7 linked regions of the Mus musculus genome follow. The protein of the gene in region 1 interacts with the protein of each later gene in a biochemical or structural test. Links are inferred from orthologs where the notes say so. Each region holds a gene or a part of one and is shown in the gene's direction. Other genes may lie near its edges. The genes, in order: Khdrbs1, Rasa1, Hck, Nck1, Fnbp4, Fgr and Fyn.

What was found.
Region 2: the proteins of Khdrbs1 (region 1) and Rasa1 form a complex in vitro, tested with the Homo sapiens proteins (2 studies listed by BioGRID). The link is inferred for Mus musculus from reciprocal best matches to the Homo sapiens genes KHDRBS1 and RASA1.
Region 3: the proteins of Khdrbs1 (region 1) and Hck interact in a biophysical measurement, tested with the Homo sapiens proteins (2 studies listed by BioGRID and IntAct, with this or other methods). The link is inferred for Mus musculus from reciprocal best matches to the Homo sapiens genes KHDRBS1 and HCK.
Region 4: the proteins of Khdrbs1 (region 1) and Nck1 form a complex in vitro, tested with the Homo sapiens proteins (3 studies listed by BioGRID, with this or other methods). The link is inferred for Mus musculus from reciprocal best matches to the Homo sapiens genes KHDRBS1 and NCK1.
Region 5: the proteins of Khdrbs1 (region 1) and Fnbp4 form a complex in vitro, tested with the Homo sapiens proteins (2 studies listed by BioGRID and IntAct, with this or other methods). The link is inferred for Mus musculus from reciprocal best matches to the Homo sapiens genes KHDRBS1 and FNBP4.
Region 6: of the proteins of Khdrbs1 (region 1) and Fgr, one has a biochemical effect on the other in vitro, tested with the Homo sapiens proteins (2 studies listed by BioGRID, with this or other methods). The link is inferred for Mus musculus from reciprocal best matches to the Homo sapiens genes KHDRBS1 and FGR.
Region 7: the proteins of Khdrbs1 (region 1) and Fyn form a complex in vitro, tested with the Homo sapiens proteins (4 studies listed by BioGRID and IntAct, with this or other methods). The link is inferred for Mus musculus from reciprocal best matches to the Homo sapiens genes KHDRBS1 and FYN.

The regions. Positions count from the first base shown.
Region 1 is NC_000070.6:129,721,781-129,725,552, reverse strand, and holds part of Khdrbs1 (KH domain-containing, RNA-binding, signal transduction-associated protein 1), read left to right. Parts: intron 1-2,774; coding exon 2,775-2,908; intron 2,909-3,772. UniProt on the Homo sapiens protein: Recruited and tyrosine phosphorylated by several receptor systems, for example the T-cell, leptin and insulin receptors. Once phosphorylated, functions as an adapter protein in signal transduction cascades by binding to SH2 and SH3 domain-containing proteins.
Region 2 is NC_000079.6:85,251,234-85,255,005, reverse strand, and holds part of Rasa1 (ras GTPase-activating protein 1), read left to right. Parts: intron 1-2,462; coding exon 2,463-2,580; intron 2,581-3,772. UniProt on the Homo sapiens protein: Inhibitory regulator of the Ras-cyclic AMP pathway. Stimulates the GTPase of normal but not oncogenic Ras p21; this stimulation may be further increased in the presence of NCK1.
Region 3 is NC_000068.7:153,107,014-153,111,336, forward strand, and holds the start of Hck (tyrosine-protein kinase HCK), read left to right. Parts: upstream 1-1,454; 5' UTR 1,455-1,679; coding exon 1,680-1,741; intron 1,742-4,323. UniProt on the Homo sapiens protein: Non-receptor tyrosine-protein kinase found in hematopoietic cells that transmits signals from cell surface receptors and plays an important role in the regulation of innate immune responses, including neutrophil, monocyte, macrophage and mast cell functions, phagocytosis, cell survival and proliferation, cell adhesion and migration.
Region 4 is NC_000075.6:100,543,261-100,547,832, reverse strand, and holds the start of Nck1 (cytoplasmic protein NCK1), read left to right. Parts: upstream 1-1,698; 5' UTR 1,699-1,728; coding exon of another isoform or gene 1,729-2,376; intron 2,377-4,572. Other genes in the region: Gm46139 (synapsin-1-like), read right to left, coding at 1,729-2,376. UniProt on the Homo sapiens protein: Adapter protein which associates with tyrosine-phosphorylated growth factor receptors, such as KDR and PDGFRB, or their cellular substrates. Maintains low levels of EIF2S1 phosphorylation by promoting its dephosphorylation by PP1.
Region 5 is NC_000068.7:90,762,448-90,766,219, forward strand, and holds part of Fnbp4 (formin-binding protein 4), read left to right. Parts: intron 1-973; coding exon 974-1,098; intron 1,099-3,382; coding exon 3,383-3,487; intron 3,488-3,772.
Region 6 is NC_000070.6:132,972,803-132,977,161, forward strand, and holds the start of Fgr (tyrosine-protein kinase Fgr), read left to right. Parts: upstream 1-1,292; 5' UTR 1,293-1,468; intron 1,469-3,937; exon of another isoform or gene 3,938-4,227; intron 4,228-4,240; exon of another isoform or gene 4,241-4,359. UniProt on the Homo sapiens protein: Non-receptor tyrosine-protein kinase that transmits signals from cell surface receptors devoid of kinase activity and contributes to the regulation of immune responses, including neutrophil, monocyte, macrophage and mast cell functions, cytoskeleton remodeling in response to extracellular stimuli, phagocytosis, cell adhesion and migration.
Region 7 is NC_000076.6:39,526,786-39,530,557, forward strand, and holds part of Fyn (tyrosine-protein kinase Fyn), read left to right. Parts: coding exon 1-145; intron 146-2,651; coding exon 2,652-2,816; intron 2,817-3,133; coding exon of another isoform or gene 3,134-3,289; intron 3,290-3,772. UniProt on the Homo sapiens protein: Non-receptor tyrosine-protein kinase that plays a role in many biological processes including regulation of cell growth and survival, cell adhesion, integrin-mediated signaling, cytoskeletal remodeling, cell motility, immune response and axon guidance.

The DNA.
Region 1 (3,772 bases):
CGGTTAAGCAAGGGAGAAAGTGAGAGTGTATTATTGGAAAGGCTATGGTTCTTGACTAGGTCTGTGCTTTTGTTCAGTGTGCCAAGGTTTTCCACTACTTAGACCTCATTCTCAAAGCACTTGTCTCCAAGGCCTCCTCATCTGATGTGGCTTCATTAATGTATACTGCTATTTGTTGTCAGTCTCTTGAGTCCCTGATGTGTTAACAGTTTGCTTAACAGATTTAATAAGGTCTTCATTCAGTTCACTATTCTGGTATTACTGTGCAATCAGGAGATGGTATTAGGAAAATGACTAAGGTAAGTCTGCAGTTAAGAAGTCTGTGTCCTAGACTCTTAAATGTAGAGTTAACCACCAGAAGCTGACAACATCCAGTGTTAATGAGTTAATTTCTAATGAGGCATACTGAAGGGCTCTTCTGGTGGAGATTTGTTTATTCAGAGTCTGATTTAGAAGAGGTGTATGTCACAGGCTTGACTATTGATGGCATATAATTTTCTTTGTTGTTTTTTGTTGTTGGTTTTTGTTTTCTTTATTCGATATAGGGTCTCATTGTGTATCTCTGCCAGGCCTAGAACTCATTGTGTAGACTAGGCTGGTCTCCAGCTTGCAGAGCTCTGTTTGCCTCTGTCTCCTAAGTGCTCTGATTAATCTTTAATCATGCTTAGAAAATGGTATATAATTCTTAAGAGTCACCTGATTATGGAACAGGTAAAATATCAGTTATCTGAACTGTTCTTTAATGTTTGGGAATCCCCCTCCCTCCAGCTTTGGATTTTTTCCAAATACATAATGAGGTTTCTGGAGGCTGCGACTCCAGTTTAAATAAACCCTGGTTTTTGTTTTGTTGAGAACCTTTATTGTTGCCCAGGCTTGCCTTGAATTTGCTGAGTAACAGAGGGTGCCCTTGACTTCATTGATCTTTATGCCTCTCGATTGGTATTATTAAAGGCTTGCTCTGCTACATTTGATTTTGTGTGTTCTGTATCCAACCCTGGGCTTGTTTATGCATGTTAGGCAAGCACTCTACCTACTAAGCTATGTCTCCAGCCCCTCAAAATTAATTTATATGTACAACATACTTTATAGTAGACTGAAGTTTATCTTAATTGACAAATGTGACAGTTGGAGACTCCTGAGGAATGAGTTGGGCATTCGTACTTAACTATCTAATTGAAATAGCAATGATATGTAAGGTCAAGGAAAGTGGAGAGTTGCCAGGGACATTGCTCTAATTATGTCATTCTTTTTTTTTCTTTTCTTTTTTTTAAAGATTTATTTATTTTATTTATATGAGTACACTATAGCTTTCAGACATACCAGAAGAGGGCATCAGATCCCATTACAGATGGTTATGAGCCACCATGTGGTTGCTGGGAATTGAACTCAGGACCTCTGGAAGAACAGTCGTTGCTCTTAACTGCTGAGCCGTCTCTCCAGCCCTAATTATGTCATTCTTAAAGTAGTGTTCAAAATATATAACAGTTCATCTGGTTTAAGGTTGAATGTTTCTTGTGGGAAATGGGAGGATTTTATGTTCTCTGTATGTAGAGTAGAAAGCATTTGACACAGAAGCAGGATTACTGGGTTCAAGCCTCACAGCTCATGTGAAGATGGAAAGGCACTCTACGAGTTGTCTTCTGATGTCCACACACCTGCTGTGGCATATACATGCATGCACAATGGCTCTTAAAGATCTCAACTATGAGAAAAACAAACATAAAATGGTATTTAATACCTGGACGGTGAGAACAACATGGTATTTGGGAAAGAGGTATGGCTTGGCAACAACAGAAAAGAGGATCTTCCCCTTTGCCCTTTGTGGCCACATTGAGAATTTTACTCGGGGCTTTGTGTGTAGACTAGGGATATATTCTACCACCTAGCTTTACTCCTGGCCTTAGCATGTCTTGTAAGGAGCAGAGTTCACTATTGTACAATGAGATCTTGGCAGGGTTATTTTGACAGTTAAACTGAAAAATCCATACAAAGCTTGTTTATATAGCAACCAATATATAGAACTTCATTAATGGTAGTGTCTTCTAGTCTAGGAAAAGGAAATGTTTGCAAAGAATGTATTTGAGACTAATCCAGGCAGTGAGTTATAGGTTGTTTGGCTTTTCTTGAGTAAGTGGTTTGTTTGGGGTTTTTTGGTTGTATTGTGTTGTGTTTTGTTTTGTTTTGTTTTGTTTTTAAGACAGGGTTTCTTTGTATAGCCCTGGCTGTCCTGGAACTCACTCTGTAGGCCAGGATGGCCTGGAACTCAGAAATCCACCTGCCCCTGCCTCCAAAGTGCTGGGATTAAAGGTGTGTGCCACCACTGCCCGGCTTCTTGAGTAAGTTTTGTGTGTAGAGGAAGAAATTGATCAAGGGAGAGTTAGGCAGGAACTTCTTTCTGAAGAACTATATTTATTAGTAAGGGTCTGCTGCCAAGATTTTCCTCAAAGAACTGATAGTGTAATTGGACATCAAAGAATTTTGACTTGCGACTTTATCTAGGCTTTCAAGGCTACTGTTTTTGGGAGTGATATTTTGAGATAGGGTCTCATCTCACTGTGTAGTTCTAGCTGTCCTAGAACTCAAAACCAGAGACTAGGCTGGCCTCTGTGTCATAGAGATCCGCTTGTGTCTACATCCAGGAGTGCTGGGATCAAGATCTGTGCCATTATTGCCAGCTTCAAGACTCTTCTTAAGATCCAAGGCTTGGTGGGCCTTGTGACTTTTAGGAGGAGGAGCAGATGTTACACGTATTCTTTGTTGTCTTTAATTCCCAGGATATGATGGATGATATCTGTCAGGAGCAGTTTCTAGAATTGTCCTACTTGAACGGAGTACCTGAACCCTCTCGTGGTCGTGGGGTATCTGTGAGAGGACGAGGAGCTGCCCCTCCTCCTCCACCTGTTCCCAGGTAACAATAGTTGAAAAGGAAATAAATACAGATTTGACTGACTGAGGAGGGTTAGGGTTTAGAAGTACATCAGGTATGGAGCTCTCGATCTTAGCAGTCTGACCAGAGTCAGGTGCTGCAGTCCTGCTGAAACTTTGGGGCTTTTAATTTGGGAAGTCCTAGCATTTAAAAAAAAAATCACATATCTATTCATCCATCCATTTGTGGGTGGTGGTGGTGGTGGTGGTGTGTGTGTGTATGTGGGGGGAGAGTGTGTGAGCATGGATATGTTAGTTAAATGACAAAGTAGTAGGAATCCTATCATGTTGGTCTTGGGGATTGAACTCAGAATGTCAGTCTTACTCAGCTGGTGTGTTTACCTACTAAGCCATCTCATTCATCCCCAGTTGCCTTTTTTCTTTTTTTTAAAAAGAATGTTGGGCTGGCGATATGGCTCAGAGATTAAGAGCACCAACTGCTCTTCCAGAGGTCCTAAGTTCAAATCCCAGTAGCCACATGGTGGCTCACAACAATCTGTAATGGGATCTGATGCCCTCTTCTGGTGTGTCTGAAGACAGCTACAGTGTACTTACATATAATAAATAAATCTTAAAAAATAAAAAAGAATATTAATCACCCCTGTCTCAAAAAAACCAAAGTAGATATTAATCACTATGTAGCCCTGCTACGTAGATGAAGCCCATCTGAAACTCAAAAGAGATCCACCTGCTTCTGTCTCCCAAGTGCTGTGATTGAAGTCATAGGCCATCATCAAGCTTGACTATATGATATGCTCTTAGAATTAAAATTCATTGTGGTTAATATTTATTCAGAAAGTAGACCTGTCTGAGGTGCTGTGATCCACGATTGAGCCCAGAGAATCTT
Region 2 (3,772 bases), on another chromosome or scaffold:
ATTACATTTATGCCTCAGCTATAAATCTTGCTGAAATAATTGTCTTAATTTTACATAATGAGTAAACAATCTTAACTTTCAAGAATATTGTGTAATCATGGAGCATTATAGTTTTTGTATGTTATTTGACTCCTAAGTTATTTATAAAACTTATAATCAAATTCTCTTTTTTTAAAAAGCTATTTAATCATTCAATAGAATCCTTGGTTTTTAACTATAAAATGTTTGGCTATTACTGATTATATAGTTTCTCTTTGAAATAACTGCAAATTATAATACAAAAATATTTTGTGGACTAAAAGTTTTAGAAATTAGTATTAGAAAACAAAGATATAGTTTGAATCTCAAATAAGGGTTTCATTTTTATATAATTATTGTCAAGCTAATGCCTTCTCATTTAATTCTTATTACCACACATTTATTTATAAAATAATGTGAGAAAATGAATACAATTAATAAAAAGGAAGAAAGTTATTTAATAGAAGTTAGTAGTATTGAAGTGTAAATTTTAGAAAATTTGTAAATTTCAACTCTGATCATCCAAGGTTGCAGTCTCTAACTTTATTTCATCTAATTGTTCTGAGACTCACTTAGATAGTCCATATGTTATCTTGGTTTCTCCAGAGAAGGTTTATTTTAAGAATTGGAACAGATTCAGGAGACTCATTTCTGTAATTTTAAGTACGGAAGCCTGGAGAGACCATGGAAGTCAGAGTACATCCCACTCTGAGGACAGAAGATAAGAATCAGCTCAGAGGAAACAGTGAGGCCAAGGGGGATAAGGAAAGGAAACATTCATCTTACTTTTATTCTGTTCAGACAGTTAGTGGACTGGATGATAACTACTCTATGGAGGAAAACAAGCTACACTAGCATAATGTATGAATTCAAATGTTGATTCATGTAGAATAGTCCAGAAGTAATGCTTCATATAGGTTGACATTCCGTTAACTTGACACATAAAATTAATCACCAAAGCCCATGAGATTGGAATTATTTTTCATTGTGACTTCACAATAATAGTGCTAACGTTTTGGGTATTAAAAACTTCAGGTACTTTAAAGTAACAACCCTAAAGTGATCAATTCTGGCTAAATAAAAATAGCTTCATTTGATGTCTGAATGAGCAAGCAAAACACATTGTGTTCTGATCTTTGACTAGGCATCTAGAACTTCTTGTAGTAAACAAGAAGATAAAACAATTCCATATAGGTGTGATGGTATGGTCCTGTTATCTTAGTAGCAGGGAAAGTGGTTCTAGAAAGATGTATTTGGTTAAATGATAAAATCAGCTTCCATTTATCTAGGAAAATCTTGGGTATTATTAAGGAGGACTTTAGAATTGAGATGGCATTAATTTTTGGCTTTTGGATATAGAGTGTTTTATAAAAGTTCTCCTTTGTATAAGCTTTGTTTTTTAAATTTGAGGAAAATAGAGTCATTTAGGCAAAAACGAAAGCATTTATGTGTGTGAGAGAAGGATTGATTTAATAGAACTAAGGTTTATAAGTATTGAGACCATACTGGAAGAATATTGAAAAATATATGAAGATACCTTATAGGTGTATGGTCAGTGGCAGCATCCAACCAGAAGGATATTTAGAGTCATTCATTTAATCCTGGAAGGAAAACTGCAAGGAATTCTTGGTGATTTTATATTGACATACAGCCAACTGAAGCCTCCTTGATGGTGTAGAGCCTGAAAACATCCAGGTAGCAAAAAGGAAACTAAGTAGTGCACATCCTCTCTGAACTACATAGCAGGGAAAAAAGCATAGATGCCTTTTAACCATGTCTGGGTGCTGTACTCTTTAAACAATAGGCATCTGAATCAAACAAATTTAAGATGTAATTATAGATGCTAATTAATGCTACTTTGTTTCCCTTTCTAAAGGAGATACATATAAATATAAATATATATGTTTTTATATTTTTCAATATTCTTCCAGTATGGGCTCAATACTTAATAAACCTTAGTTCTATTAAATCAATCCTCTCAAACACATATATAAATATGTATATATGTTTATATATACATATTTATATATATCTTAAGTGTATATTGCTTTTTATTACATCTGTCATACATATAATAAACAACATTGAAACTTGGAAACTTTAAAATTCAGTTTTCTTGGAACTACTTATAATACATAAGTAATTGTTTACTATTTAAAGGAATTTTAGTTTGAGTCTAATATAGCAAGTAGGTAGTAGATAGAGGAATTCTAATTTGAATATAATCCAGCAAAGCAGACTCTATTACTAAACCTATAATTAAATTGTACATATAATGAAATTAGGATTCAGGTTTACTGTCTTCAGTTTCACAAACAAAGATGCTAGAAACAGCATAGAACTTTGTTTTTTAAGTGTTTTTGCATATTTCAGATATAATATCTAATGGTTTAGGACTACTTAAATGTTCATTTTTAAGATAGTAATGGCATTTGCTATTGTAGTTTTTTAAAAGGAGATATGTTCATTGTTCACAATGAGTTAGAAGATGGATGGATGTGGGTTACCAATCTAAGAACAGATGAGCAAGGCCTTATTGTTGAAGACCTAGTGGAAGAGGTGGTAAGTTTCATTTGTTCTTCTAAATTTCAGATCCCAAGTTCTTTTTTTTTTTTTTTTTTTTTTCCATTTTTTATTAGGTATTTAACTCATTTACATTTAGATCCCAAGTTCTTTATAAAAGTTTAGAAGTCTGTTTTCTGGGTCATTAGACAGAAATAATTTTCTCTTGTCAAATGCTTAAATTCATCAAATGCAAAGAAATTTTAAGGTGTATTTGGTGTTAATAAATGATTATTTGTAAAGAAATAAAGTATGTTAGTATGTTATAATACATATCTGCCTTTGCACAAAGTACTTCAATATTTCTATCACTTGTACTTATTTCGATAATTTTTTTGTGCTTCTTTTCTTCATTAGGTATATCTGACTCAGAATTTTAAATAGTTGTATGTTTGGTATAATTTTTCAAATATGTGTATAATTCTAATAATCTTAGAAATTTTTAATTGTATTATTCATATATAACCCCAAAGTTCTACAGTTTGAATATTCCCCTTTGTTTTCTTTGCTATCATACATTATTATTTATCTTAGTACATAATTTAAATCATCAATATATTTAGCAAATTAGTACAAATTAGCACTCAAGCAATGTTCATGCTTTACAGACAATATTCAACACCACCAAAATGTATTAAACATTATAATTTTGGAATTTACATTTTCCTCTTAGATTTGTGTGGTAGAATAGAATGGCTTTCTGTGATCTTTTATGGAACCCCAGAACTATGTATGCCCTGTGTGGAAGATGGTAGAGTAATTTGTTTTGCTGCTAATTGTTTTGTCTGCTTATTCTGACAACTAGATCTTGATTCACATGCATAAAACATACTGAGGAAAGTTGGAAGGAGTTATGGAAATTATGTGATATATCCTGTATTCATAGTCACAAACATAATGCAAGATCTAGGATTATAACTTCCAGTTCTTTAAATAGCATTCCGAATTCTACATTGGAAGAGGTATACAGACAGGAACAATCAGATTCAAGCATCTTATAAATATGTTAGTTTTCCTATAAATTTTTAGATTTTGTTTATGTTAGACTTCCTTTTGCCTATTATACACTAATTTGAATTATGCACTCATTGAATGTTTGATTTTAGTCTTTTTAAATACTTAGTGAGGCCCTAATTAAGAGAAGTCCTTGTATACTTTTTTTTTTTCTTTCATTATCTGTTCATTGAAAACT
Region 3 (4,323 bases), on another chromosome or scaffold:
AATAGGGCATGAATATATTAAAATACATAGCAAACACATTAGTGTTGGGTGACTGGGATTTCTACGTGGGCTGGGGACCAGGCTGTGTAGGAGGCAGCTCTGGTTGTCAGAACTGCTACTGGGCCTAGCGGGTGGAACTCTAGAGCTGCTAACACCGCTCGCGCTCAGAATTCATACTTAAAACATAGTACTGCTAAACGCATGCCTACATGCACGCGTAAGCGAATGAATGAGAGATACTGGTGGTCTGGCCTGGCTAGAGGAGGGAGGACTCCTGTACGTTTCTGCAGGTGTGTGTTGCAGTTTAGAGAGTGTTGGTCCCTGTCGTTTTGAATGATGTCTCAGGCTGAGTGGAATATGCCATGCAAACAGGACCTCAGTGGTCTGCCAGTAAGACTTCCTCTCTTCAACTTGGGAGGTCCTCTGAGCAGTCCCATATTCAGCCCAGAATAAGGCAAAGAACTCCCGCGGGCGCCAGACTTTGCATGGAGTTTGAATAAGCGGTGGGTGGGCGGGTGGAGGGAAAACCGCTGCATGTGGGAGGGACCGAAGTGGAAGGGCGGTGGAGACCCACCAGAATCCTAGAGGGAGAGGTTAGACTTATCAGGGCGTGGTTAGACTTAAAGGGAGCTACATTCCTTCTGCGGCTGGTTTAGGATCTTTGAAAGGAAGGATAGGATCGGTTGATTGCTCCAGTGCAGGATTTAGGACCTATGGGATTAAGGTCTCGTAGGGGGCTGGTGGCTGTAGTACAAACTACGGAGAGAGAGGCCCTGGATTCCATTCTCTAGAACACACAAGCGCGCGCGCGCGCGCTCTCGAGATTAAAACCCTTTCAGAAAATTTGATTACAAATCTAGAGAATTTGTAGGGGTTAGGACTGGGAACAGAATAGAAAGTGAGATTGAAAATCTTTCCCCAGGAGGAGGCAGATGGTTTTGCAGGTAAAGACGCCTGGTGCCAAGCGTGGCTGCTTGAGTTCAGTCCCCGGAACTCGGAAGGTGGAAGGTAAGATCCTAGTCCTCCAAATTGTTCTCTAACCTCTACACCGCTCTGAGGCTCCAGGGTACTTACACACATACACGGAAACAATCAACCAGTCAAACAATAAACGTAAAATATTACAATTCTTTAGGGAATCCAAGGGTATTTGGTCTCTTAGGTAGGGGTCCAAAATCTCTGGGGATAGGGTTTAGAATCCTTTGGACAGGCTCATTACATCATGGGGGGCTTAAACGCACTAGTGGGGGAGGGGGACTGGGAATCTTGGGAGGGCGGGTCAAACCTTGGTGTCTGAGTAAGTCCTTCAAGGACTGGTTAGCGCCCTTGAGGACAGGGTTAGCAAAGAAATGCTGAAATTCTTTGGAGGTGAATTTAGAGCAGGAGACAAGAGAGCCAGAGTGGGAGTTAGGCTCTTAGAGGGCGGAGTCGGGGTATTTGGGGGCGGGGTTTGCATCACCCAGGGTGCGGCTAAGGCGCCCAGATGGCCAGTGAGCGCCACTGGGTTGCGGCTCCCAGCTTGCACTCCCCGCGGCGGCTCTCAGACGGGTGGGAGGGGACCAAAGTCGCCCGTGAAGGGGGCTCTGACCCGTTCCGAGCGCCAACGCAGCCTCTGTAGCCCGCAAGTCTTCGTCGCTTGCTCCGGGCTCTGAAGTCCGGGGCCACCAGGGGCCGCAGCGCTGGGGGGTCGGTCTAGCTGCGAGGATCCGGGCTGCCCACGAAGCGAAGGGCGGGCGCCCAGGTGAGTGCGGGGTGAGAGGGCGGGAATGGGACACACCCCCGTCCCCGAGAACGTGCAGACCTCGGGCTCCAGGGATCTGAGATCCTGGGCGAGCTGTGGGGGTGCCGAGGAAGGAAGAACCCGTCCTAGGAGCAACCGATCCCCGGCGGTGGGATGCGCAGTCTACGAAAGGTGGAGGGTACCCAGGTGGCCAGGTGAGGCGAATTGCCGCCACCCAGGGCGACCCTGGGATAGCCCTAGATAGAGGAAGCTCAGGCAGGGGAATGGCAGTGCTGAGCTGAGGCTTCTCTGTCTAACCAGGTTCCCCTTCTGCACACACACACACACACACACACACACACACCAAGAAGAAGAAGCTGGAGGGGAGGGAAAGGCCCGTTCAGTTCCCATTGATGGTGGGTGGGTGGCAGGTCACGCAGGTAGACAGCAGCCATGGCTAAAGGAACAGCCCGGCCAAGACAAGCCCATGCCTGCCACACCCAGGCCTGGCTATAGGTGTATATCTGAGTCCCCTCTTTTACATCTTCCCCTGCCTTCCCAGCTGAACCCCTAACAGGCGTACATCCAACTCCAGAACCTCTTACACAAAGACCACAATCTACCACCATCTCCTCTGTGTGACACTGGGGCATGTCACTGGCTACTCTCTGGATTCCAGCTTCCAACTCTGTAAAATGGGCTGTTTTACATTCATCTGAAGCTGAGTTGTCCAGAGAAGGGGAGCAGTGCTGCTGGGTACTGGAGAGAGAGCCTGGTTTGTCTGTGCCTCTGTTTGCATAGCTGCAGGATGGAGATGGTAAGAGGACAGGTTGAATGTTCCCTATCCAAACTACACCTGATCAGAGGGGTTTAGGATTTCCGAGTGTGGCAGAATTCTGTATGTCAAGTGCACAGCGAGGCATCCTGGAGTGAAAATTAGGTCTTAAAGAGACATTTGTGTATGTTACACGTGCTTCTGTATGTGTTCACTGGTTGGTGTGTACTCTGGGGTTCCTACACACGTGGAGGCCAGAGGACTCTATGTTGTTCTTCAAGCAAAGGCCACCTTGCTTTTGGAGACAGGGTCTATCATCGGCCTGGGGCTTTTGCTGGGTAGGTGAGGCCGGCTGATTAGTGGGTCCCAAGGGTCCTTCCTCCCAGCTGACTTTTTTCAGGAGTTCTGGGGGTTGTAACTCAGTTCCCCCTGTTTGCAAGGTACTCACTTTACCAACTGGGCTATCTTCCTGGCCCGAGATTTTCACACATTTCATTCTCATCCCTCAGAGATAACTAATGACACATTTTTAATGGCTCCTCCATTTTTACATCAATTGATAGCCTCAGATCAGGTGTGGACTTTCCCACTTGGACCATCCTGTCGGTGCCCAAAATGTCTCCGATTTTAGAGCATTTCGGATTTAGGCTTGTGGAAGTTCCCTTACTTTTGAAGGTGACATTAAACTGAAGGAAAGGGAGCCCAAGAGGTGACTCTGCATCTAAGAGCACTCACTGCTCTTTCCAAGGATGCTAGCTAAGTTCTCACCGATCGCTCACAACAACAGAAACACCTCACAGCTGCCTATAACTCTAGCTCCAGGGAATCTCATACCGTCTTTTGGGCTTGGTCTTGTAGGCACCTGCACACATGTGATCTCTCTCTCTCTCTCTCTCTCTCTCTCTCTCTCACACACACACACACACACACACACACACACACACAATCTGAAAGAGGGGCGGAGAAGAGAGAAAGATGGCTGAAGGAAAACTTTCAGAACCCTATTAGATGTTCTTTCCACTGTTCCCGTCCAGCCCGAGAGATTCTCACACCAGCATCACCAGGAAAGGGTGTTAAAATGTGCATTGCTAGGGCAACCACCAAAGGGAGGCCTAGGGAAAGATACTGAGAACTGGCAACCTCCGGGCTGCTGATGCTGCCCAGAAATCTCACTTTGAGAATCACTGCCCAAGCCTAGGACTGACCCAGAGAGGCCTCACAAGAGAGCAGTTGCTCTCTAGTGCCCTTCTCACCATGCCCCTTCTCTGGAGGAGGAAGGGTGCTGTTTAGTGGAATATGTGCCCATGTCCCAGGAACTCACCACCCAAAATTAACTAATTCACTAATGTCAGTGTGGGGGCATGTTTGCTTCAGACTTTAAAAAGTAAAATGACTAGGTGTAATGGGTAAAATCAAAGTCCCTGGTTTGGTTCCCTCTCAGTTCTCTCTTTCTACCTCTATAGGAGACACTGCTGTTGAAAACCAATCCTTCCAGTCTGTGTCTCCATAAACAAATGTGTCCTCTGTGGTGTAAAGATTATAGCAGAGCCCGATGTAGGAGCACACCTGCAACCCCAGAACTTGGGAGTAGAGGCAGGAGGAGCAAAAATTCAAGGTCATCTTTAGCTATAGCAAGAGTTTGGGGCCAGCCTGGGCTATGAGACCCTGTCTGTAACAAAATAAAACTTCAGTCAACAAGGGATGTATCCTGAAATCCTGGCAGATGCCTGAACTGTAGATAATACTGACTTCCTGTATATCTTTGCTTATATATGAAAGCCTTTCTTTGATAACTCTGAATTGATGGCATCACTAGTCCTGTGCCTAG
Region 4 (4,572 bases), on another chromosome or scaffold:
TAAGCTGTCAATAGCTTACTGGGAAAGGTCTTAAGATATGGAGGATTCTTATTTCCTTTATTACCCCAAATATCCTCCTTTGGAGTTAATGGGGGTCAGCTGCCTGTATGTTTTTGCTTTTGAGATAGCATCTCTCTATGTAGCCTTGACTGTCCTAGGATTTGCTACATAAACCAGGGTGGCCTTGAACTTGCAGAACTTGAACCTGTCTCTGCATATATATATATATATATATATATTTGTCTTTTTGTTTTTTGAGACAGGGTTTCTCTGGGTAGCCCTGGCTGTCCTGGAACTCACACTCAATCTGTAGACCAGGCTGGCCTCGATCCACCTGCTTCTGCATGCATCACCCCCTTCTCTTCGGTATGTATGTTTTTAAATATATAATTTGCATTACTTACTTTTGATACTAACAATAGGCAGAGTATCCTTTCCCCAGTTTTATGTTCTACTTTTCTCAACTAAACTCAGGATTAAAAGGGGCTACAGGTAACTTGTATTTTACCTAGGGCAGGCCACCCATGTATTTATTAACATGCAATTAAGTTAAAAGCAGAAAACAACTTTTTAGGATTTACAGGTAGGGCTTGTAGTATAGCTAAAGGAAGGGGCTGAGATTCAGTGATTAAGAGCGCTGGTCTTCCAAGGGGCCTGAGTTTGATTCCCAGCACCCACAGGGTGGTTCAAAACCATCTGTAACTCCAGTTCCAGAAGATCCTATACCCTCATTTGACCTCCATGGGCAGCAAAATTATACACAAGTATAACACAAGTACACCAAACACTCGAACACACAAAGAATAAAAATGAATTTTTAAAAGATGAAAGGAAGCTGTATTAATTCCTCGATTGTTGAGGATGATGTGCTAGGCACGAGGTGGGCGTGGGTGAAACAGTTCTTTTAATAGACTTTGCAATCTAGGTATATGGGTGCAGCTACGCTGGAGGCAAAAACTCGTGTTTCCATAAAATTACCTAACCTAGAATGTTTCTTTTAGGTGCCACACCCACACTAAGCAACAAAGGTGATTGGGAAATAGTGAGGCAGGTTATGAGTCGCTGTAAGGCAAGTTAGGAAGGAGAGCCGATTTATTGATGCCTTCCTTGGCAGGTGGCTGGGACTGTGCCACTGCCATACTCACCCCTAGGGCAGAAGTAACTGTCCTTTTCACAGGACTGGAAGCCGGGAATGAAGGCTACCCACGCGCCAGGGCACTCGGAAGTTGCTCGCAAAGCTTATTTTGGTTGTGGTTTTCATTAACAAACATCTTACATTTTTCCCCCGAGGCTTCATTTTCTTTGTCGCTCCCTGTCCCTAAGATCTGCAGCTGGTCGGCCCTTTCAGATGCAGGCACCAGAGTAGTCTGGGTTGAACTCGGGACCGCTGTTCGACATTAATGAGCGATTTAAAATGAATGACAGGTTTTAGTAGCAGTGGGAGAGGCGGAAAGTAAGCAGCCACCGAGGAGGCTAGGGGAGAACAGGGCGGTGGGGCCCGGCGCTCCTCACCTTCTGTCCAAAGGCCGCGCAGTCTCAGCTCAGGGACCACTCAGGGCCCGCGCTTGATTGACAAGCCCGCTCGCCCAATCCCGGAGCGGCGCATTCCGCTGAAGCGTCAGGGGCGGGCGCAGGAGGCGATGGAGCCTATTAGATTGGGCGTGGAGCGGGTTTCCTGCCCGCAACGGTCCGCCCACCGGTTGCGCGCGCCCCGCCCCTCTCCGAGAGCTACGCGGCGGCGCAGCACAGGCCTCGTGCGGTAACGGCATCCGGGCAGCCGCGGTGGCGTCCCGGTGCGGTCCTCAGGTGACTGGAGCCGAGGGCTCGGCGGAGGGAAGGTGAGACGGCCTCGCTCGCGTGCGGACACACGCACAGTCCTTTCGGTCTCCCGGTCGGTCCGCTCTGCCTGCTAGTCTCTAGTCGCTTCCTCTTTCCCCGGCGAAGTTGGCCCGGGGGCGCCGTCTGCTGGCGGCGGAGCGGAGCGGAGGGGGCGGGGAGGCCGCTCGGCGGAGCTCGGGTGTCCGCGGTGCAGCCCGGTGACCCCGCGGCCTCTGGCCTGAGCTGCGAGCGCCGGTCGGGGAGGCGGGCAGGCAAGTGTGCGGCGCGCTGCCTCGGCGGTTCTCCGCAGAAAGCCCTGTCGGCGGTCTGTGTCGGTGTCCGAGGCCGGGACGGTAGGCTGGCAGGAAGGGCGCTCTCACCTCCAGCCGCCAGCCTGAGGAAGCCGAGAGGGGGGACATCCTCGGGGCGCGCCCTCCCCTCCCCCTCCCGTTCCGGAGCAGGAGAGATGTGGGTGTCCGGGGGCTGTTGAGGTGGGGTTGGTCCAGGAAAAGCAGTCCTCTGGGTTGGTTTCGTACTGTTGTCGTACGGGTTTCCGTGCTAGGTCGGTTCAGTGTTAACAGCTGGGTTGGAAGGAAGCTGGTTTTTTGTTCAGGGTTGAGGACCGTAACATGACCGGTTAACGTCGAGCCGAGCTGAAGTCACCCGAAGAAAAATACTGCCCTTAGTTAGGAAAGAATTCACAGGAGTTAGGAAAGAACGAGATGAAGAAAACTTCCTGACCCCATCTTGGGTGGGGAGCAGTGAGAATCCAGGGTTCGGCCAAAAAAACGGGTCAAGTTTTGCAAGAAGCGTTCCATTTTCAAAAGCTTTGGTAGCTTGATGATGATCAATCAGCCTTAACGGTTTCTTAAGCACCTGGAAATCAATTGTGTGCTTTCAGCCTTTAGCGACGTCACAACATGAACAGAGAAATAGTCCAAGGAGAAAGTTTTGATTGATCATTTTCAGTCTTGTTTTTAAATAGATATTCTCTTCACATCGTGATAGTTAAGTCAAAGCGTATGCGTTGGTTGATTAGTACTTTTTTTTCATCGTGGCCACATGTGGTGCTTTCTCTGGGAAAACTTCTGTAGGAATTGGCTAGAGTAACTAAAGCGTACATTGTGTTGATGTCTCCGCTGTATGTATGAGCATTATGTTTGAAAAGATTTGCCTCCCCAGCAAGCATTTTAAATTGTTTAGGTTTCCAAGCCCAACAGATCCGTGTATTAATAAGTCGACACGTTAATGTATTGCCTTATTAAACATTGAGTGATAGTTTATGCTGCTGATTTTCTAATTTGAGAACTTCGTTCTAGAGTTCAAGGCTTGTTGTGATTATTATTGTAAATAAATTCCTTCTCAGGAGAACTTGAAAAAAAATGAATTAACTCTGGCAATGTGGAAGAATGGATGCTTTCAATGCCAGAAAATCAAATGATTATTTCACTGTTAAGTAAAATTGGAGGAAACGTGAACTGAGCATTTAACAAATCCAACAGTTTGACGACAATTTGACAGGCCTGCCTGATTCTCACTTTAACCTATCAAGGAAATAGAACTTCAAAGTCTTCCCTTCACAACTGATGCCCCACGCCTCCAAGCTGTCTTTCATTAGCGATACATTAGTAGCATGCTTTCAGGAACCCAGACATAAACCTTAACATTGTACTGTTTTTTTGTAGTTGTTTTCTTTAAAAAAAAAATCTTACCTTTGTATTCTTATATATTGTTTTTCAGTTTCTGAACTACTCAGTAACTCTAACTGGATTTTCTGCCTGGAGGATCTCAAATGTGTTCTGCCTGTGCTGATCTTAAAATAATACTTTGAACATATTTTTCACTGTTTAGACACTAGTAATATCTTTCCTCTAGATTCCAGTCTTTTAAGGGTTTATTTTTATTTTATGTGTTTTGTAGTGTTTTGTACGACATGTGCTGTGGACTCTGGGGACAGAACAGAGATCCTCTGCAAGAGCTCTTAACCACTGAGCCATCTGTCCTAATACAGAAACATTCTCTGCAAACTACTAACTTTGCAAAGGAAAAGTTCGCTAAGCTTTCCTTCTTCCTTAATTTCCTTCCTCCCTTCCCCGCCCTCTCTTCTCTTTCCCTCTCCTGTCTCTTTTGCCTTCCCTCAGTTTTGGGGTGAGACCAATGGCTTCTCATAAACCTTTGAGGTGTATCATCAGTCTAAAGTTCTATTTTTTAAAAAAGTGATTGGTTATTATATTTTCTACACCCAGAGTCAGGACAGCTTGTGAGGGGTCAGTTCTCTGTCCCCCACAGAGGTCCCATGAAGTGAACTCAGGTTTTTAGGCTTGGCTGTAGGTACCTTTAACTACAGAGGCATCTTGACACCCATCCAGAGTTACATTGTTTTACATATTGTTAAACATTTTTAAAAAGTGTGTGCTTGTATGTATGTTGAGGGCATGATATGTGCACAAGAGGCAGGTGCCTGAAAAGGGAGGCCAGGAGAAAGTGTCAGATACTTACAGGGGGTCACAAGCCTCCTGTTGTAGGGAATCAGCCTTGGATCTTTTGCAAGAACCATACTTGAATTTAACTGGAGACATCTTTCCAGTCCCTAGAAATTTAATTGTGATTTGAGTGAAGGTTGTCAAGATTTTCTGTTACCTATGTTAAACTGAGTCTTTGTTTGTTTGTTTCGCACGCCCTCTTTCTTTTTAAGTTAGCGCACAGAGCGGTGTGTTTTGTGATGACATTTGCTTGTGTAGTTATTGCTGTGCT
Region 5 (3,772 bases), on another chromosome or scaffold:
TCTAATGTATATATGAGTACACTATTGCTGTCTTAAGACACAACAAAAGAGAGCATCAGACCCCATTACAGATGGTTGTGAGCTACCATGTGGTTGCTGAGAATTGACCTCAGTACCCCTGGAAGAGCAGTCAGTGTTCTTAACCACTGAGCCATCTCTGCAGCCCAACTATATGAATCTTTATTTTTGTTTTGTTTGTTTGTTTGTTATGATTTTTCGAGACAGGGTTTCTCTGTGTAGCCTTGGCTGTCCTGGTACTCACTCTAGACCAGGCTGGCCTCGAACCAGAAATCCACCTGCCTCTGCCTCCCGAGTGCTGGGATTAAAGGCGTGCGCCACCACGCCTGGCAACCAGCAATATGGATCTTGATGGCTGTAGACCTTAGCCACTTCAGGAAGGCTGAATGAGTTGGATGGGGTTGGGATGTTTGATTGATTGTTTGTTTTTGAGATGTCTCTGTAGCTGTGGGTGACCTGGTACTGGCCTATGTAGACCAGGCTGGCCTTGAACTCATCTCTGTCCAAATGCTAAAGTGTGCCACCATGACTGCTGGTGGTGAGGTTTTGGAGGCAGGAAATTACTTTGTAGTCCATACTGGCCTGAAACTTGGATCCTTATTTTTCCTAAGTGCTAGAATAACAGGCATCCCACCTCTCCCCATGCCTGGCAACTGACTTTGGCGCCTCTGGTTCTAAAAGCTTGTCTTCCTGTTTCACCCAATTTAGTCAAGAATCCTGCTCATTCCAAGTTTGATATTTAGCTTTTGTAGAAATTGAAGTGTTTTTGAAAGAAAAGAGAGAAGGAAGACAGAAACCATAAGGTAAATGCAGCAGTAGAGCAGTGGGGTTGCTGATGGACAAAGTGGGCAAGAAAGAGTGCTAATACTGTTTTTCAGGTGTGTCCTGCAAAGACAATAAAATGCTTTGGACCTCAATTGTTTTGACTTAATTTCATGGAGTTTTTGTTTTGCAGCAATTGGTGCTGAAGATTCCGAAAAAATAGATGAAATTTCAGACAAAGAAACGGAAGTAGAAGAGTCTTCTGAGAAGATCAAAGTCCAGCTAGCACCTAAAGTGGAGGAAGAGCAGGACCTGAAAGTACGGAGTGTGGGACTTGGCTCGGGGTGGGTCTGGGTCTGCTGCATCTACTGATGCTGCCCTGAACCTCGGGCTCCTGCTGTCTCAGTCTCCTGAGTGCCAGGATTATAGGTTCAGTCATTAAACTGCAGTTAAATACTGTTTGCAAATCATAAACTCTACTATGTCCAGACCTAAGGCTTTCACTTTGTTAGATTAAAAGATTCCATTTAAGGCTGAAATAAAAACTTTGATGCTGAGAAATTATGTGAAAATTATTAATATTTACTTTCTTTGAGATTAAGCTTTGACTGGAAAGAATGAATCTACTGATATAGGCTTCTCAGATTTATAAGTACTAAAGAGAGGAAAAGATTTAGTTCCTATGTGAAATACTTGTCTTTAAACAAAGACAAATTTGTTTCCAATTGCATTTGTAACCTCATAATAAAATCTTCTGGTTCACAAATGATTTATAGCCAGGATCCCATGAGATAGAATCAAATCTGAACTGTTTGGGTCTTTGTTGTAAAGCAAAGCAGCATTTGTACATGCACATCCTTCATACATGTTAAATCCTTCTAGGCTGCTTATAATACCTAGCACTATGTTAGGATTTGTGCATATCATATGTATATGATTGCCTGAATGGTTCTTTTAAGACATTCTCTAGCTCAGGCAGTCTTAGAACTTACTCCTCCAGAGCTTAGACTTCTTGAGAGGATTATTGGCTTTTACTACCACACCTGGCTTACAGTGCATTGAAGAATATGACCAAAAATGTATATGCATCTTGAGTATAGGCAGATTTGTCAATTTTGGGTTTTTTGTTTTGTTTTGTTTTGGTTTGGTTTTGGTTTTTTGAGACAGGGTTCCTCTGTATAGCCCTGGCTGTCCTGGAACTCACTCTGTAGACCAGGCTGGCCTCGAACTCAGAAATCCGCCTGCCTCTGCCTCCCAAGTGCTGCCACCACCGCCTGGCGTTAATTAAAATTTTTAGTCTGGTTGGCTCAATGTGGCTCTTTAAATTTAATTTGTTGTGTTAAAAAAAAAAAACAAAAACCCTGTAGCATAGTATTTTTAAAGATGTTTGATCACTAGTGTTTTATGCAGCCATGTAGAAGGAGTGGAAGGGGATTATTTATTTATTTATTTATTTATTTATTTTGGTTTTTCGAAACAGGGTTTCTCTGTATAGCCCTGGCAGTCCTGGGAAGGGGAATTTTAAGGCTTCTGCATGGGGCTAGTAGGTGATAGTAGAATATCAATTAAGATGTCCTTCATGCAGCTCTTTGAGGTATAATTGACACATTTGCCATGTGTCCCATTTAGATGGTTTGCTTTATCTCTATATAGATATAAAATATAGAGAGATACTGATATTATTACAGAGCCCGCTAATAAGTTGTTACCGTACTTTCTTTGTGTAGAGGTGTTAGAATATTTGATCTGAACAAATTTCACCTGTACAGTATGGTTGGGTTGGTTTTTGTAGATTGATTGATTGGTTAAGAGTACAGAGTTAACACTCTTCACACACACCAAAAGAGGGCGTCAGATTCCATTACAGATGGTTCTGAGCCACCATGTGGTTGCTGGGATTTGAGCTCAGGACCTCTGGAAGAGCAACCAGTGCTCTTAACCGCTGAGCCATCTCTCCAGCCACTCACATAGTGATTTTTCCTTCTTGTACCTAAGCTGTCATTGGAACACTCTGGTATGGAGACAGACAAGTTGACTCACTGGCTAAAGACGTGGGCTTACAAGTCTCATGTCCTGGCTCCAGTCTCCAGGAGTCTTGTGGTAAACAAACGAAAAGTGCTCTTAACTGCTAAGCCATCTCTCCAGCTCCTACAATATGGTATTATTAATTATAGTCTCCATGCTGTACATTAGATTCCCAGTTTTATGGATGAAAGTTTTTACTCCTTATTATTCCACCCTCTCAAAACCACCACTTTGTGTAAATTTGATTGTTTAGGATTAGGATCTTTGTTCCGCTGTTGAAATCCATGTGTGCGTACATAAATAAACATTTTAGGGCTGGTGAGATGGCTCAGTGGGTAAGAGCCCCCGACTGCTCTTCCAAAGGTCCGAAGTTCAAATCCCAGCAACCAAAAAACATTTTATCCATTCTTTTATGTGATTTTTTTTTTTTATAAATTAGAGGCCTAAACATAACTAGTTACAATCATCTGTCTGTAGACAATAAATCCTACTACCAGTAATAATAAATGGGAGACTATGCATAGTATAGGAAGGAGTGCTGGAGTTCTGGGTTTAATTTTTCTGTTCTCTGTTACAGTTTCAGATTGGAGAACTGGCAAATACCCTGACAAGTAAATTTGAATTCCTAGGGATTAATAGGCAGTCCATCTCCAACTTTCACATGCTGCTCTTACAGACTGAGGTAATGCAGCTGGTTTGGGTGTGCATGGCATTTTGTTGTTGTCTTATTTTTGATTTACTTGTAGCCGTGGTTGGCCTAGAGCTTACTATACAGAGCATCAAAAATCCTCCTGGCTCTGTCTCCAATGTGCTGAGATTAAAAACTTACTTAATTTTATAGAAGTTTTATTTTATTCATGTGTCTGTGTGCCATATGTGTTCAGATACCTACAGAGGCCAGCAGACAATGCCAGGTCCCCTGACCTGGAGGTAAAGGCATTTGTGAGCTACCTGTCATGGGTGCTGG
Region 6 (4,359 bases), about 3.3 Mb from region 1:
GGCTGGGCTCCCATTGGCCACGATATACATTTATTTGTTAATTGCACACATGGATCAATGGCCAAGGCCAACTTAGAGGATGCTCTATAATGGTGGCAGTGCTATCCAGGCAGGGTAAAGCCACCCTCCCACAGTCCCTGAACCTCCACTACATTTCCTTTCTTCCTCCTACACCCACTTCATATTTTCCTAAGAGAGAAGCACTTTTATTTGGTTTTTTGAGACAGAGTTTCTTTGTGTAGCCTTGGTTGTTTTGGAACTCACTCCATAGACCAGGCTGGCCTCAAACTCAACAAAGATCTGCTTGCCTCAGCCTCCCAAGTGCTGGAGTTAAAGGTGTTTGCCATGGCTCATTGAGAGAAGCATTCCTATCTGCATCCATCACTTGCTGACACCGTGTGTGTCACCATGATCCTCCTGAACTTGTACTTTAGGGCGCTCACACACAGCCCCCTACACCCCTGTCTGTACACAGAAGCACACCTGACTGCATAATGTGTCCGAGCTGTTGATTCTAAACCCAGTCACGCATCGTCATCGCCTATCATCAGTATAGCCCCGGGGACACCCACTTGAATCTTCCATGCCTTAAGCCCTCACCCTCCCACAAACATTTCCAATTCAACCCTAGCTCTCCCTCCCCAGGCAGGGGGATTTCCTGGGTCTCAGTGCACCTTGGTTTTAGAGAGGTAATACTGGTAATAACTCTTGGTTTTAAAGGGAGGGTGGGTATCGGGCTGGGGGAGTATAGGGAGGGCTCTCCTAGAGACACTGTGATTGATTAAGGATTCTCCTCAGCTTCTCTAAAACTTGTGTGTGGCAGTAGCCTGATGGGAGCTGATTGTTGTGAAAAACAGGTACCCAAAGGCAAGGGCCTTATCTCCACCGCCCAGTTCCTAAAGATGAGGCGGCAGGGTATAAGTGACAGGCAAAAGATCCCTGGCAAATGTAGTGACAGTAGTGTAAAGGCTACAGGCTATGTGAACTTGGGCCAAGTTATCCTGACCTGGCTCTGTGTTTTCCTACCTAGGAGATGAGTGGGGAGTGGGAGCCTTTGGGATGGCCAACCCCCCACCCCCTTGGTATCCCACTCTAGTAACTAAAGGGACAGGTCCCTTTGGCCGGAACCTTTGGGAAGGAGCTGGGGCGCAGGGACAGCGCTGGGAGAGCCCATCCACAGCGGGAAGTGGGAGCCAGCGGACTTTGGATCTGGGGGCCCCTCCTGGCTTTGGGCAGCAGTCTAGGGGCTGAGGCGTGACTTCGACTTCTCTGGCTGCCGCCTCCTCCTCCGCAGTCACCAAAATAAGAGAAGTCCGAGACGGCTTCCTCCTCCCTCCCCAGAGTAGGTAGTAGGGGCAGAGGCGGGTAGCACCTCACTTTACCCCCCACATCGCCTCTCCTGGTTGCTGGAAGTTAGGGTTGGCTCGCCCCAGATCGAGTCACCCGCAGCTGGCTCCCTTGAGACCAGGTAGGCGGCCAAACCCGGTGGGGGCTGGTAGGGCAAATGTTGCCCCGCCCCTAACCGTCCTCACCTTGGAGGGAAGATTTGGGGGTAAACCTGAACTTTGAGAGCTGAGCAAGTTGAAAGCGGGAGATGGGGGTGGGGATCCCATTCAGAAAGGAAATGAAGAAGGAAAACTAAGGAAAGCTGGAAAAGGCTGATAAAAACCTAGGAGAAGGCCGAGGCAGTACGGCGAAGGCAGACCAAAAATTCCCCCTAAAAGTCTAAATGGGGAAAGAGAGGGAAACTGTGTTGTAAATTTGATAAAATTTGGGGAGAGGGCTGAAAGTACAGGAAGGCACTGTGGGATCCCCCAAAAGCGTCTAGGGAGAGCCCTGAGAGGCTTTCAGGAGGAGAAAAAGGAAAGAAGCTGAGGGGGTATGAGAGAGGGGTAGTAGGTGGGGAAACTGGAAAGGGGGAGGGGATACTGAGGAAATCGGTCGCGAGTTCCCGAGAAGGGGGTCTAGGAGAGTGACTTCTGCAGAACTCGGAGTCCAGAGTGCAGTTCTGGGGTCTCAGAGGCCGGCTATCTGGATTCCTCAGAGGGAAGCGGGGAGTCTGCAAACTCCCCCCAGACCCTCTAGCTACATCAGTGGGGCAGCGGGTTCCAGACACCCTGGGGATTCCTTCCAGCAGCTGGAGGCGTGGATCTGGGTTTCCTGGGGAAGACCTCACCCTGGGGCATCAGACCTCCCTGGGTGCTTTTCCCTATCCGCAGTGGCGGTCAAGGTTTGCGTCCCTGTCGGGATCCGGGAATTGCTGGCAGCCCCGACGGAAATCCTGCTTTTGACCGCCAATGCCCGCAGGGGCTGTTTCCATGGCAACACAGGGCAGTGAGGCCAGTTGGCTTTGGGCCGCTGCAGGCTCAAGGCTGGCAGCCAACTTTGGTCCCTGCCTTCGTCCCCATTTTTGGTCCTTGATCCGGGTGTGTTGCACCACAGAGGGAGTGAGAGGGTGCCGCTTGGTGTTCAGGGGTCTCCTGCCTCAGAGACATGTTCTCTTAGCAAGAATGGGCCTTTAATTGCTATGCAGACCTCAAGGAGAGCTAGCTTTCTCTGGACTTTTGCTTTTCTCATTGGAACTTTGGGGAAGAAACTAGCCCTCCCCATACCAAAGCTGTGCCTAGTGGCTCATGCCTATAATAATCCTTGCATCCAGCAAACAGAGGTAGGGAGGTTGTCACGAGTTCAAGACCACCTTGAGCGATATAAGCAGAAAGACAGGTGGGGTGGGGGAAACAGAAATAGAATGGGAAGGGGTGGGGCGGGGAGGAGAGGGGAGAATGGAGGAGAAGGCAGATGAAGTTCTATCAGATCCAGGCCAGCTGGCTCTACACAGTTCTTTGCCTTCTCAAAGCATGGAGGACCAGAAAGCTTCGCTGACAGGGCCTCTGAGAACCAGCACACAGTTGGCATCTACTAAATGTCACGTTTACTAGGGCCCATTCCAAGAAGGTTAGCAGGGTTCGCATCTGTACCCCACTCTCCAGGTGGCCACCCTACAAGCAAGCCTTTTGTAGTCTAGAATTGGATGCAATGAGCATCCTTCCATTTGTAGTGGGAAGGTGGAGGGGGTAGCCAAGCTGTGTGGACCCAAGAGAGGGGGAGGTGGAGGGGGGCTCCTGCCTATATCAGCTCCTGCTCCCCAGCAGGCTTGAAGCTGTGAGTGAGATTGTGTGAGGGTGCTCCCCAGTGTGCTGTGGGCTTGAAGTGAATGTGTTCACGCCTGGGTGCTTGCTTTTGTGTGGTTATTGGGGGTGGGGGGTGGGGGCTGCTCGGAAGCTACCTAAGGTTGAAGTGACAAGGGACGTAACCAGCCCTGACAGGCTGGGTAAGGGACAGGGAAGACAGAGATGAGGAAGGAAGAGCCAAGTCTCTTCCACACAGCACATTGGGTCAGCCGATGGTAAGGAAAGCAGACTGCCCCATCCCACTCCCTCAAGACTAAGGGATGAGATTAAAGGCTTGGGCCACCACAGACAGCAGGGGTCTCTCTCTCTCTCTCTCTCTCTCTCTCTCTCTCTCTCTTCCTGGATATTCGAGGCAGGGTTTCTCTGTGTAACCTTGGCTACCCTGGAACTCTGTAGACCAGGTTGATCTCAAAACTCACAGAGATCCGCCTGCCTCTGCCTCTTGAGTGTTGGGATTAAAGGCATGCACCACCATCACCATCATGAGGCTCTGTCTTTTTAAGACCGGGTCTCACTGTGTAACTCCGGTTAGCCTGGGACTCATTGTACAGACCAGGATGGTCTCAAACTCACAAAGATCCACCTACCTCTGTCTCCCAAGTGCTGGGATTTAAGGTTCAGACTGCTGTGTCAGGCCAGATAGACCCAGTTTTACCCACCACAAATGGGGGAAACTCAGCTGACACCTTAAGGACCGTGTCGGGGGAAGAGCTAGGATAGTACAAAGATGGTGTCAGGACTGGACCAGCTGTGACTCTCAAAAAAGGATGGTGTAAAATGAGAGGAAGTTAGTGAGCCATGAGAGCCTCTGTGAGGGAGAAGGAGGTATCAGTGCTCAGTGAAAGGACGGTGGAGGATCCTGAAAGCCCACAGTCAGGGCTCTGAGTGTATGCGGTGAGGGATGGTGATGCCTTCACACCTTAGACTCCCACTTGCCCCCTCAGCCCAGGACTGTCCCTGCCCCATGCTCTGAAGGGAAACCGGAACTCTTGTAGGAGGTGGTTTCCTGCCGCTGCCCAGTCTTAGTTCCTTTTTGGTAAGTTGTCCGGGTTGATTGGGCTTGCTCATTCCTCCCACCTTGTCTGGGAACTTCTCTTTCCCCCCTGCCCCGCCCAGCCCTGCACCTCTGTCCATCCTCCCTGCCTCAGCGAGACCTTTTCGAGAAGAA
Region 7 (3,772 bases), on another chromosome or scaffold:
TACTCACTTTCCATCCGTGATTGGGATGATATGAAAGGGGACCACGTCAAACATTATAAAATCCGCAAGCTTGACAATGGTGGATACTATATCACAACGCGGGCCCAGTTTGAAACACTTCAGCAACTGGTACAGCATTACTCAGGTAACCCCAGTGCCGTCACCGTCACCGTCACCGTCACCGGTTAGAAACTGGAGGCTGTGAGGGAGGAGGAGGAGATACGGGACAGAGTCACTAGGTAGAGCTGTCCTCTGCCCGCCCACCCCCACAGTCAGACAGACAGATGGAGTCCGGGGTTCTGTTGCTCTTCTGCCCCAGATAGGATTTTCCTCCTGTGTTTTCCAGAAGTTCCCCCCAGTAGAAGGCAGTAGTTTAAATCTTGAAAGCTGTATTTGTATATTAATTTTCATAATAAAAATCCTTGCACGTTCTTTACCTTTGCCTTCATTGCCATGCAGAACTGTGAGAGGAAAGGAGGAAAGGAGCTGTCCCTAGGCAGGCTCAGACGGCCCCCAGGGAGCCTCACTTGATCCTTCACCGCAGCAGAGGGAAGCACATTCTTGCACTCTGTAGAAGAAAATCTGTGCTGCTGCAGGGTTCCCTCCGCCCCGCCCCCACTCCCCCCCCCCCCCCAGCTTGCCTGCTGAGGCCACAGCTCCCTTACCTCCATCTCCTGGACTTTCTTGGTTTTTTGTTTGTTTGTTTGTTTGTTTTTGTTTTTTCAATTTTTAAAGACTGGGTCTCGCTATAGCCCTGGTGGCCTCCAACTCAGAAATCCCCCTGCCTCTGCCTCCTACTGCTGAGACTGAAGGTGTGCGCCACCATACCCGGCTACTGTGATGACTTTAAACAAAGATTAGACTTTGTCTTTACGTCCCATAATCCTGTTCTTCTGCTGTTCTTGGCCATTCAGTTATTGGGTGTATGTGCGTTCATGTGCGTCTTATGTAAATATGTAGCTCTATGCGCAGTGTTTAGTGTGTGCCGCTTGCCCTCCTTGGTTAACAAGTGTGTCCTGCTAAACAATGCATGTGTACATGACCCCTCCTTTTTTCCAAGGTAAGGTCTCACTTGTAGCCCTAGGGAGCCCAGTATCCACTTTGTAGCCCAGGGTGGACTTTCAGAGTTTGAGCAATCCTCTAGTGTCAGCATCCCAAATGCTGGGATTACGGACGGAGCCACCACACCCTTTTTACCACCATTGAAAAATACCTGTGCTGTTTCTGCCACACCAAAGAGACTTGTAGCCTTTTAAAAATAACAATACGAAATGCCTATGTACTGATTCTGGCCACTGATGAGCAGTTAAGAAATTAACAGTGGCTGAGCCAGTGATTTGGGCATTAGCTCTCTCACTCTATGTGGATTCTAATGAAATACTGAGAGAAATGGAGCAGAAAACCTCCTTGCACTTCAGTGATATACACAAAACGCCTGTATGTTATAAGGATTTTTTTCAAATGCTGAAATATATTTCATTACAGGCAAACATCCGCAGGGTCCCCAGGGTTTGGATCATTTGAAAATAGTGTGCTGGAAAGGGCACCTTAATAACATCATAAAGCTGAAGGAGGGAGCCGATGTGAAGCACCCTAGACGAGTTTTAATCTCAGGGAAAAAAATCCATCTTGAGTTAGATTTGTTTTTATATTGGCTTTTCCTCTTTCCTCTTCTCTCTTGCACATAGAATGCCTTTGAAATACCGACACATAAATAATTTCCTGCCTAAACATCTCAGAAACAGATTTAAAAAAAAAAAAAAAGGAATGAAAAGTAAGTTAAGAATTCCCAGAAAAGAGACAGCCACAGTTTGTGCTTAGAATCCAAGAGGCTTCCAGGGACGTAGGGGGCTTTGGCCCCCTCGGTTCAGGGTCTCTCTGGCCCCCATCTTTCCCTGCCTGCTTACTCTCTGTTGGCGTTTAGTCAGTCTCCCCATACCTTTGCTAGATTCTCAAAGGAATATTCTTTTCAAAAAGAAGGGGTGGGGGAAGACCAAGTTCCCAGTAACCTGAATGGAAGCTACTGTTTCCCTGCTTTTCATGTCACTGAGTTTCTGTGAATGTTGTTAATTTCCATTACTTCTTTAAATCCAGACTCCTAAATTATGCATAGAAAGCTGTTTAAAAGGTCGTGTTTTTGTTTTTGTTTGCTTTTAGTGGAAAATTGCAAAAAAGCAATGTGAGCACACAGGAGCAGTAGAGTCAGAAGGACTGCAGAGAATGTGACATCCTCTCCCGCTGCAGGTGTCCTCCTGAGACCGGCTAGCTCTAACAGACCAGAGGTCTGTGGGAGGCTCCTATGCCAAAGTCACATTTTAAACAGACATTTACCAGGGAGAGTCCCTCAGTCCCTAGATACCGGAAGGGACAGGGACAGTTTTTATTTTTATATGTACTTTTTGAAAGTAGCAAGGGCATTTTGAATTTGAGGCAGTGAATACGAGTTCATTAGACTAAAGTACACAGAAGCCAAAGCAGGCCGTGCCTGTGAGCAGCGAGCATGCCCGATGGTACAGCGGTGTCCATATCTGACACATCCTCATCTGCCTCCAGCAAATGTTTGCTCATGTGCGTCGAATCTCCTGTGGCCTGTGCGTGTTGTCGTTACATATTCTGCTCTTCTCTCCCTCACCGCTGCCCTGCTCCTCCAGAGAGAGCCGCAGGTCTCTGCTGCCGCCTAGTAGTTCCCTGTCACAAAGGGATGCCAAGGCTTACCGATCTGTCTGTCAAAACCAAAGATGTCTGGGAAATCCCTCGAGAATCCCTGCAGTTGATCAAGAGACTGGGAAATGGGCAGTTTGGGGAAGTATGGATGGGTATGCTGAGATTCAATTACTCTCTTATTAGCTTCCTCGTTTGGAAAATCCCAAACATCAAGATGGAAGGTGGAAATAAAGATATTTTATGATCAGGACAAACAGACAGTTTGAATTATTCAACTTTTATTTGGAAAAATTTGGAATCTCTCAAAGAGAGCTAGAAACAGGCAAGAACTACAGCTGTCTCCAGTTGTGCTACAGTGTTCCAACCTGGCTCAATGTTGCCGTCAGGGAAGTCACCTTCCATCTTTCCTAGTGCATGCATGATTATGGATTATAAGGACTGTTTTCTTTATTAATTCCCTTTCCTGTAGAGAAAGCTGATGGTTTGTGTTTTAACTTAACTGTGGTTTCATCAAGTTGTACCCCACAAACTTCTGGATTGGCTAAAGATGCTTGGGAAGTTGCACGTGACTCGTTGTTTCTGGAGAAGAAGCTGGGGCAGGGGTGTTTCGCTGAAGTGTGGCTTGGTAAGGCAGAGGGCACATTCTGTTTTGGCTGCATCTCAAAGCCAATGAAAAGGACAGTTTTGAACAGAAATGTGTATGTGGCCGTTGGGACAAAGACCCTTAACCTTTGTGACTAGATGGGCTCAAGCCACCCAGGTTTGCAGAAGTCAGTGGCACCTCGCTGTGTTCACCTGTCCTATTTCATGTGGCTCATTAAACACCTGCAGGACAGGAACCCAGTGATGGTGACGCTTTCTCTTCCTGTGAAATGGGATGGTAAGATGCCATAGAGTAAGGTCCTGGGCTTTCTTCACACCAAGCCTGGGTCTAAACCCTTGCTGGGTGATTAAGTATAAATGCAGGGCCTGTTTAACTCCTCTGGCTCCAGTCCTCATCTGTAAACTTGGAATAGTACCTGCTTCGCTGGATTATTTAAGGATTATATCAGACATGGTTAAAATCTCCTGTAGATCTTGGATCCATGCACACATATCTTCATTGTGT